Caenorhabditis elegans: one gene and its partner. The protein of the gene in region 2 interacts with the protein of the main gene of each other region in a pairwise test. Each region holds a gene or a part of one and is shown on either strand. Other genes may lie near its edges.

Evidence for each region.
Region 1: the proteins of ZK1240.1 (region 2) and magu-1 interact in a two-hybrid assay, tested with the Caenorhabditis elegans proteins (2 studies listed by BioGRID).

Annotation. Positions count from the first base shown.
Region 1 is NC_003281.10:468,417-473,647, forward strand, and holds the start of magu-1 (MAGUK family), read right to left. Parts: upstream 3,287-5,231; 5' UTR 3,280-3,286; coding exon 3,201-3,279; intron 2,907-3,200; coding exon 2,596-2,906; intron 1,992-2,595; coding exon 1,779-1,991; intron 1,470-1,778; coding exon 1,389-1,469; intron 1,278-1,388; coding exon 1,091-1,277; intron 1,045-1,090; coding exon 947-1,044; intron 179-946; coding exon 1-178. Other genes in the region: nemp-1 (Nuclear envelope integral membrane protein), read left to right, coding at 3,917-3,995, 4,043-4,197, 4,247-4,329, 4,679-4,761, 4,815-4,981, 5,043-5,231.
Region 2 is NC_003280.10:2,327,177-2,332,371, reverse strand, and holds ZK1240.1 (RING-type domain-containing protein), read right to left. Parts: upstream 2,981-5,195; 5' UTR 2,842-2,980; coding exon 2,763-2,841; intron 2,696-2,762; coding exon 2,526-2,695; intron 2,483-2,525; coding exon 2,414-2,482; intron 1,478-2,413; coding exon 1,290-1,477; intron 1,241-1,289; coding exon 1,186-1,240; intron 1,132-1,185; coding exon 822-1,131; intron 771-821; coding exon 730-770; intron 679-729; coding exon 658-678; 3' UTR 512-657; downstream 1-511. Other genes in the region: ZK1240.8 (RING-type domain-containing protein), read left to right, coding at 3,320-3,395, 3,442-3,671, 4,657-4,844, 4,892-4,934, 4,986-5,195.

The DNA of each region.
Region 1 (5,231 bases), on a different chromosome or scaffold from region 2:
TCTGCGGCCTACTCGTGTGCGGAATAGCGTTTGTAAATCTGTCGGCGAAAACTTTGAAAAATTGCCGTCGAATCTCATTTCTACCGACTCCTGGAGCACCGAGAAGCACAACGACTCGTCGCCGTTTTTTCTTATTTCTCCATCGAAATACACTCTCGTAGAAGCGTCCTTTGTGATTCTGAAAATCGCAAAAATGTTCGATTTTTTTCGTATTTTTAAGGATCCGATTCGAGATTTAGTGTTGCCAATTTTATAGCTTTGAATTGAAAAAAAACTACACTTTTTAAAGAAAATTCTGAAAAAAAGTGCAAAAGTGGAATTTTCTGGATTTCCAAAATTCCAATTATCTGGATAAAAACCACGTGTAATTGGTTTTTTTTTAAATGAAAAAATTTCTCTTTTTTTTACCTAAAAAGTAACGAAAAATCCATTTTTCTGTTCAAAAACTCGCAAAAAATTGATTTTTTACTTAAATTTCACTGAAAATTCCCATTTTTAACCTAAAAAATCCCAAAAAAATCGATTTTTCGCGCTAAAAACCCCACAATTTTCAGTCGTGAACGTTAAAAATCGCCATTTTAGCTAAATTTCCACTGAAAATTCTCTTATTTTTTACCTAAAAATTAACGAAAAATCCATTTTTATGTTCAAAAACTCGCAAAAAATAGATTTTTTACTCAAATTCCACTTTTTTTTTCGATTTTTTGAATTTTTAAGGATCCGATTGGACTTTAGTGTTGCCAATATTTTATAGCGTTTAAATTGAAAAAAAAACTACGCTTTTTAAAGAAAATTCTGAAAAAAAGTGCAAAAGTGGAATTTTCTGGATCTCCAAAATTCCAATTATCTGGATAAAAACCACGTGGAATTAGATTTTTTTAAAATTAAATTTTCTCATTTTTCTGAAGTCATAAGTCACTTTTAAACCCTTTTTCCAAAATTATACCTCTAAAAATGACTGAAAATCATCTGAAGTATCTATTCCATTTTCTGGAATTTCCGATTGACACTGTAGCCATTCCGACGGTACGAGACCCACTTTTTCTGAAAAAATCATTATTTTTGGAATTTCAGAGCGCAATTTTCTCACTGGAATCATCTCGATTCTCGTCATCATGACTCTCTTTCCGCCTCGCCAGTGCTCCGAATCCGATTTTTCGAGTTTGCCACCAATATTGGTCCTTTTCGTCGAGGATCTCTAGAATATCACCGCCGCGGAAGGAAATTGCAGCTTCTGGGCAGGGATGACGTTTGTCCTGCCATGGATCGTAGTCGAACTGAAAACTAGGAAGAATTCTAGGCTATTTTTACGGAATTTCTACTTGGAAATTGAAAAATTTGCGAATTTTGGACTAAAATTCTGAGAAAAACTAGAAAAAACCACTTACCAAAGCTCGGGCATACCGATGTGACGACTTTTTCTGCTTTAACTTCTGGTTTATTTCTGCAGGGATCAGCTTGAAGGTTATCTGAAAAATAATATTGGAAATTTGAGAAAAAACGTGTATTTTTATAGATTTTCTTAAAAACTTTTTTAGTTCAGGCTAAAAGTTACAAATTACTGAGAAAATGCAAATTTTTTCTGATATTTCAGGTTTTTTTTTTAAATTATAATAAATCCATCTTCAATGTTTTTTAACAAATACAGAATTTTTTAGCAATTTTCAGGTATACAAGACGATACGAATATGTGATTTTTTACAAATTTTCTCTGATTTTCGTGATAAACTGCTAGGAAATTGTTGTTTTTTCGAATTTTTTAAAACAAAATCACTAACAATTCCATTATCACATTTATCCAGCAGCTTCACGATTTCCCTGGGCTCCTTATCCGCTACAGTAATCCCATTGACCTCCAATACTCGATCGCCTTCCTGAATACATCCACTACGGTCTGCCACACCGTTCGCCATTATTCGTGCCACGTATACTTTGCCACGTTCGCATTTTATTGTTGCACCGAGGGGTTCGCCACGTCGCACTATTCGCACCTGGAAAATTGAAACAAAAAATTAGAAAAATGAAATGGAATATAAAATTTTTGGGTCTGTTAAATATTTAGCAGACCAAAGTTGGGTATGCTAAATATTTAGCAGACCCAAACCAATATTTAGCAGACCAAAGTTGGGTATGCTAAATATTTAGCAGACCAATGCCAATATTTAGCAGACCCAAGTTAGGTATGCTAAATATTTAGCAGACCCAAGTTGGGTATGCTAAATATTTAGCAGACCAAAGTTGGGTCTGCTAAATATTTAGCAGACCATTGCCAATATTTAGCAGACCCAAGTTAGGTATGCTAAATATTTAGCAGACCAATGCCCATATTTAGCAGACCCAAGTTAGGTATGCTAAATATTTAGCAGACCAAAGTTGGGTCTGCTAAATATTTAGCAGACCAAAGTTGGGTCTGCTAAATATTTAGCAGACCAAAGTTGGGTGTGCTAAATATTTAGCAGACCCAAGCCAATTTTAGCAGACCAATAGAATTTTATAAAAGTGGAAATTTGAAAAAATTGTCAATTTTACTAGCCAATTTTTCCAAAATTTTGAAAATTTCAATAGAATTTCCGAACAAAAACCGTCGATCCTCACAATTTTCACAGCGACCCCATCATCCTCGTCAACTTCGAACGGAACGTCTGGAAGCTGCGGAGCAAACCGCCCGGCTGAAATTTCCTGCGCCGCCCATAATACTCCCTGTACACGTGGCAAATTTAGGAGCTCAACGAGTTGCTGAACCGACGAAGATTTGATATTTGAAATGTCCCAGTCGTCGAGAACGTTCTGTGATAGTTCTTGAAATGAGATCTCTTGTTTCTGGTCGTTTGTTGAGAAATTCCGCAGAATTGATACGGCTTTTTGTTGCTTTTTCGTTAAACTTGTTCGTGGAGGCCTTTCGTCGTCTGGAATTTCAGTAAATTGGTGTTTATTGCCACTTTTTTTTTCAAAAGTAGCTAAAATTTGCTTAAAAACCATAAAAAACTTGATTTTTTTAAGATTAAAAATGTTTAAACTAGCTTATTTATCTACTTAAAATTCTAAAAACCGTATTTTCAAAAAAAAAGTTATATTTGGGTCTGCGAAATATTTAGCAGACCAAAATTCCTTTAATTTTCGCCGAAATTGTATTATTCTTCCGCCAAGAATCTCTTTTATCTGCTCAATGTCTTGCAATTTCTCGATTTTCAAACACGTACTCTCATTAGATGTCCCCGCTGCTACTTCCTCTGCATAATCCAGTATTGTTCCAAATATTGCCGATAAATTGTCGGGCATTTGAGATCTGGAATTCGGTTTTTTCTTCAAATTTCTTCAAATTTCAGCACTAATTCGTAAAAATACACGAAATTTCTGTCAAAAAATCAATTGAAAGCGAAAAAATGAGCACTTTAGTGTAAAACAAAGGGGGAACCTTTTAATTTAGAGGGGCTCGGTTAAACAAGGCGTGCGGCGGAGTGTCGTTGCAAGGAAATTTGAATTTAAATTTTATTTTTTCAGGTTTGATAAAACGTATTTAAATTAAAATTTATGACATTTTTTTATTGTAATCGTTAATTTTTCGAGTTTAAATCAATTTTTGGCGAAGTTTAGTTCATAAATATCGACTTTCCTTCGATATTTCACAATTTTTTCGATTTTCTTCGAATTTTTCAATCATTCTTTTCTGATTTTGGAATCGAATTCCAGAAATTTTCGAAAATTAACTAAAAATTGATAACAAAACAAAATAACTGAAAGTTGTCCACGAGGAGTCCACAGAATACTTTCGTGGCGGGACCCGGCAGCGCGAAAACCTAGATTTCGAATTTTCATGTGAATTTTCACGTTTTTTCTCTGAATTTCGGTTGAATTTCTCCCCATCTTCTAATTTTCCAACAAATATTTCTGAATTTTCAGCAAAAATTCGGCGCAGATGCGCTTACTGACCCTCGCACTACTCGTCGCGGGTAGCTTGGCCTATAAATTCGAGGATTGTGAGCAAAAACCGGCAGGTAAGACTTTTTTAAAGTTTCAAAATTAAAAAAAAAATAATTTTCAGCTCTAAACCAGGTCCTTCGTGTCGGCGCCAAGCTTTACTCGTACAATCTCGACTTTTTCTATCAGAAAGCACTACCTTACAACGCGATATACGCGTTTACCGATGTTTTTTTGCAGACTAATCTGACAAATGCGGATCAATATCAGTTTTATCAGGTAGGTTCTCGGGAAATGCTTGCGAAAATATAAAATGGAGTTGTTTCAGGGTACAAACTGCACAACTGTTCAACAGCTTTACGATAATGACAATCGTTATTTCGGAATTTTACGGAAAGCCGCACTTTTGAGGTTTGGACCGCGAAAAAGACACAGATTTTATGATAAATCAGCAAAAATTTGTTGGATTTCGCTGATAAATAGAAATGTGCAACAGAGAAACGTGGAAATTTTGGTCTGCTAAATATTTAGCACACCAAAGTTGGGTATGCTAAATATTTAGCAGACCCAAAGTTAGAAGAAAGCCAATAATTCCGAATTTTCCGTCTAATTTTAATTAAAATTCGATTAAACTTTTGCGTTTCTGCTAGGATTTTAGTAAATTCATCGAAGATTTTGCAGAAAGTCACGGATTTTCGGGTATCCCAACTCTAGCTGTAAAATATTCTGAAAAATCCAACAATTAAACTAAATTTTGCAGATCTCATCAGTTAAATCCGTTCAATGACACAATCGTCGGCGTCTCCACAACTGAACCATACGAAATATCGGTTTTAATTTGGAGTTAGTATTAAATTGAATTTATTTTTAAAAAATCGTTAAACAAATTCTTCCAGAAGTCAACTATTTCCGTGTTGGTGTCTACGTCGGAGCAATCGTGCTATTTTTGCTCGCCAGCAAGCTCGTTAGAAATGTCGTCTTCTACTACACCAGTGGATGTTCTTTCGGATTGCTCGCTTCACTGCTCTTGGTGGCATTTATTGTGTGGCGTGTTGCGCCGAAGGTATGGGAAATTAGGTTCTGCTAAATATTGGCAAATTCATCAAAAAACTCCAAATTTTCAGAAAACAATTGGAGTTCCGATCCTCATTGGTGGCTGGTCAGTCTCCCTTTACATGCTTCACTTCGCCTGGTCAAATCTTCAAAGCATCATGATTGAATATCAAAAATACGTGATCGGATACTTTGCCACGGTTCTTCTGATCTCAATGGCGGTCTGCTACAAGCGAGGCCCTCCAACTGACGCGAGATCC
Region 2 (5,195 bases):
CCATTTTCAACACTATTGCTAATTCTATGTGGTCAGTTACTACGGATTTCGTAATAGTTTTTCGTAAAATAAAACGTTTTCAGAGCCTGGCGCCTGCCTGAAACCTGCCGAGCACCTATAGCACTGTTTGTACGGGAGCGGGCTTATTTTAGAAAAATCGAAAAATCGAAAATTTTCGTTTTTTTTTTTGATTTTTCGAAATTTTTTTCTCTTATCAATAGAAAAAAAATTAGATAAAAATCGTATTTTATGATTAATTTTTAGATCATTTTTTTTTTCGATTTTTGGATTTTCCGGAAAATCGAAAAAACGTAAATTTTTGTTTTCCGATTTTCAAGTTTTCGAGACTTAGGCTTAGGCTTATGCTTAGGCTTTGATTTAGGCTTAGCCTTTGGCTTAGGATGAAGCTTAGGCTTAGACTTAAGCTTAAATGTAGGCTAGGCGGAGAAAAAAGAGATAAAAAATAAATCCTAGAAAATATGAGAACTCAGAAAAATAAAATACCAAAAAATTAGACATTTCAAAAATTTATATTGCCCGAAAAGGGCCAAAAAAATCAGGATTGGAGAGTTGAATTTTCGGTTGTTTATCGGTATTTGTACAAAGTAAAAAATGATTGAAAACTTTAAAACCAAAAAACTGCCTTGTTTGGAACATTCAAAGCCACAGGGTTATATTCTGAAATTCATGTACCTATAATACAAATGCTAAATTATCATTAAAACCTACATCTGGCTCCAGAGAGCTTGACATTGAAGCATTTGCCACATCTACAAAACTTCCTGACATTGATCTACCAACTTCCTTCCAAATCCACTTACCCACAGCTAACCTGTTCACTTCTGGAAAATTTAATGCTACATCAAACTGAATAGGCTCAACTTCTGTATTTTCCGAGTCATCCCAGAGCTGAATTTCTGAATTTAGAGCTAACAAATCCGCGTTGCTCATTCCCAGAAACGACTTTAATTTCTCGTTTTTCAATTTCTGGGTTTCCAGGGATTCCGACAATTCTTCTAGTAGTAATTTATTGCTAGCTGAATTGGATTCTGCAATTTCGCGTAGTTTTTGATTTGCAAGGGCTTCCTGGGCATCTAAGGTCTCTCGTATTGAGGTATAGTAGACGGATATCTGAAAATGTTCTGGAATTGTATTTCGTCCCCGTTTCAAAAAAAAATCACTAACCAAATCTTTTTTATCTTGAAACACCTTCCCATCTACTTGATTTGTTTGCTGGGCGCTGAAATTTCAGCGAGCTAAAATTGTGATCTACCGCTTTTTAAACTAACCTGTCAACCTCTTCAATGTTCTTGTCAATTTGAACAATCTGATCTTCGGACTTTAAAAGCTTATCTTTGAGCAACGTTCTCAATTTCAAAGCTTCCGTCTGTAGGAGGCCCTTCGAGTGTCCGGCGTGAACTCCAAACTCCTCGCAAGTTCGGCACATTAGCTTTTCGTCGGAGGAGCAGTTGGGGTCCTGGAAGGAGAATTAAGGAAGGTTCTCGAAGATTCCAGAATTTTTCTTAAATTTCCCAGAAGGTTCTAGATCATTCTAGAGTTTTTTTGAAAATTGCTAGAAGGTTCTAGAACATTCCAAAATTTTCTAAAATTTTCCAGAATGATCTAGAGCATTACAGAATTTTCTCGAATTTTCCAGAAGGTTCTAGAACATTCCAGAATTTTCTAAAATTTTCCAGAAGGTTCTAGAACATTCCAGAATTTTCTCGAATTTTCCAGAAGGTTCTAGAATATTCCAGAATTTTCTTGTATTTTCCAGAAGGTTCTAGACCATTCGGGAATTTTTTTTAATTGCTAGAAGTTTCTAAAACATTCCAGAATTTTCTCAAAATTTACAGAAGGTTCTAGACCATTCTAGAATTTTTTGAAATTTGCTAGAAGGTTCTAGAACATTCCAGAATTTTTTATAATTTTTTCAGAAGGTTCGAGAACATTCCAGAATTTTTTTGGAATTTTTAAGAAGGATCTAGAACATTCCGGAGATTTTTTTCTAGAAGTTTCCAGGTTTTTTTTTGAATTTTCTTAGATGTTCTAGAACATTCGGGAATTTTTTTTTAATTGCTAGAAGTTTCTAAAACATTCGGGAATTTTTTTAATTGCTAGAAGTTTCTAAAACATTCCAGAATTTTCCCAAATTTTCTAGAATGTTCTAAAACATTCCAGAATTTTTTCAAACCTTCCAGAAGGTTCTAGATCATTTCAGAGTTTTTTTGAATTTTCCAGAATATTCTAAAACATTTCAGAATTTTCCCGAATTATCCAGACAGTTCTAGTACATTCCAGAATTTTCTTGAATTTTCCAGAAAGTTCTAGACCATTCGGGAATTTTTTTTAATTGCTAGAAGTTTCTAAAACATTCCAGAATTTTTTTCAAATTTTCCAGATAAAAACTCACAAGACAAACGAACTCCGCCATATTATATTTATGGGTCGCGCATTTTGGCGGTACATCTGCTTCATCTTCCTGAAAAACTTTCTCATTAATTAAATTATCTAGTATATCGTACCTCTTCTACACGTTCAGTTTTCGTGTGTTCAATTATTTGCAGCAGTGCAAAATTCTTTTGCAGATCCTTTACCGCACTGACACTTGTTGTTTCCCGGCAGAATGGACAAGAAATCGCCGAGTTTTTTAGTAGTTTTGTCGCACAGCACTGACAAACCGAGTGGCCACATTCTGAATCATTTACCTATTTTTAGATTCAAGCTTCGTATTCGTATTTGACAGAAAAAAATATACTCACTCAAAATTCTTGGAACCTGATCTTCATTGACACTTGAGAACTCCAGATTGCAAATTTCACATTCGATAACTTTTGACATTTCTGGAGACTGGAGAATTTCGAGAAGAATCGGGGAAAAAACTAGAGAAACGACCGGGTGGCTGACTCCTTGTTGACACAAATTTCCAGTTGATAACGATTTTTACGGGCTCGTGAGAGTTACGCAAAAACTGATTGTAGTAGGTGGGCATGGTTTTGCCTAGGAAGTAGGCATAGGCGAGTAGGCGCCTGCCTGTCTACATATAGGTACCTTTGGCAAATGACATTTCAAGTTGTGTAGTAGGTATCGGTTTTGCAACTTATAATTGAGTTTGAAATGTAATTGAGTTTGTAATTGAGTTTGAATGTGTTATCTATTTTATGCTTATGACTCAAAAAGGATACAACTCGTATTTTTTAATGAATTATGAATCATACGAAATTCTTGAAAATACTCACTTTTTTCGTGCTTCACAAGGAATTATATAAATACTCTTACTAATCTATTTTGTTATCTAATGCTCCTTTAGTGACATGAAATGGCAATTTTTGAGTGTGAAGTTTGCAATGAAGATTATTCGAATTTAGATGAAAGTCGTGCTCCGCGAGTTTTAAGTGAGTTTTTTTTTGTAACTTCTGTAAAATATTTTCGAAAGTTTAGAATGTGGTCACTCGATTTGTCAGAACTGTGCAGTCAAACTAATCTCGAATTCTGTGATTTTGTGCCCAAAAAAGTGCTCTGAAACAACAGAGGTCCAAAATGGAAATGTGGAGAGCCTGCAGAAAAATTTTGGTCTGATGCAGGCTATGGAGATGATGGAAGCTAGTTCGAGTAACTCACCGCCAAAGTGCAAAGAGCATCGATATAATATTGCGGAGTTTTTGTGCAGTGTAGGTTAAGCTGATAAGCAACGAAAGTTTCATATAAATTTTTTGAAAGTGAAATTTATGGTTTTTTTTTGGGTATTTCTTAAAGTTTAATATCTGTAACACTACTGTTTTCAACTGAAAACACATAGTTGAATGTTCTTTTTGATAAGGAAAACATGGTAGGATATGAAAATTTCGAAAATTCTGAAATGTTTTAGAATATTCTGGAAAATTCAAGAAAATTCTGAAATGATCTAGAACCTTCTGGAAGGTTTGAGAAAATTTTGGAATGTTTTAGAACATTCTAGAAAATTCAAAAAAATTCTGGAATGTTCTAGAACCTTCTTGAAAATTTGGGAAAATTCTGGAATGTTTTAGAAACTTCTAGCAATTAAAAAAAAATTCCCGAATGTTCTAGAACATCTAAGAAAATTTTAAAAAAAACGTGGAAACTTCTAGAAAAAAATCTCTGTAATGTTCTAGATCCTTCTAAAAAATTCAAAAAAAATTCTGGAATGTTCTCGAACCTTCTGAAAAAATTATAGAAAATTCTGGAATGTTCTAGAATCTTCTAGCAAATTTTAAAAAAACACTACTGTTTTCAACTGAAAACACATAGTTGAATGTTCTTTTTAATAAGGAAAACATGGTAGAATATGAAAATTTCGAATTTTTTCAAAAGAAACTGAGACGAGCAAAAGTTAGCGCTAGTGGGAAAATGTTAGAAAAGACTCCTATGGAAAAATTTCAAAAATTTTTTAAAATGTTTTTTCTTGGCAAAACGTGGCAAAACTGAGAGTTTTCCAATTTTCAAAAATTTAGAAGTTAAAAAAAATTTAAACTATGATATTTGTGAATTTTGGAACCAGAGAAGTGGTTTTTAACAATTTTCCCACTGGCGCTACTCCATATTTAACTTCAAAAATTTTGTGTTCAAAATGCTTTAGATTATTTGAAAAATTGGAAAGAGTTGCGTGAAAATCAGTAATAAATTCTTAATTTCCAGGAGCACGACTGTCCCTCAATCGACAAACTAATGTGTAGGACTTGCGAGGAGTTTGGAGTTCATACAGGTCATACAAAAGTTTTGATGAGTGTAGAAGCTGGAAAAATTAGAGATGTACTGGAATGCAGGCTGAAACAGATGAAATTGAATGCTGAATCATTCACAGTGCAGCTAGAAGAATTTAGAGAGTAGGTTGAGAGATTAGAAGATATTTTGCAAATTTTCAATTTTTCAGAGCTATGTCAAATAGACAACTTTTTATTGAAAAGCTTTCGGAGGTAGGCTTTCAATTTTCGAAGTTATTTTTATAATAATATGGGCAATTGCAGATAAAATATCATTTCAGTAGAATCCGTCAATTGGTTGATGAAAGGGAAAAGAGGATTACAGATAAATTAACTTTTAATACGACAGAAATATACAAGTGCAATAAGGAAACTGAATCCAATATGAAACGTTTGCAGGATTGTCTTCTTGAGAAAATTGAGCAAACAACGAAGTTCTCAAAAATTAGTGATTATCAGTTACTCCAAGCCGAC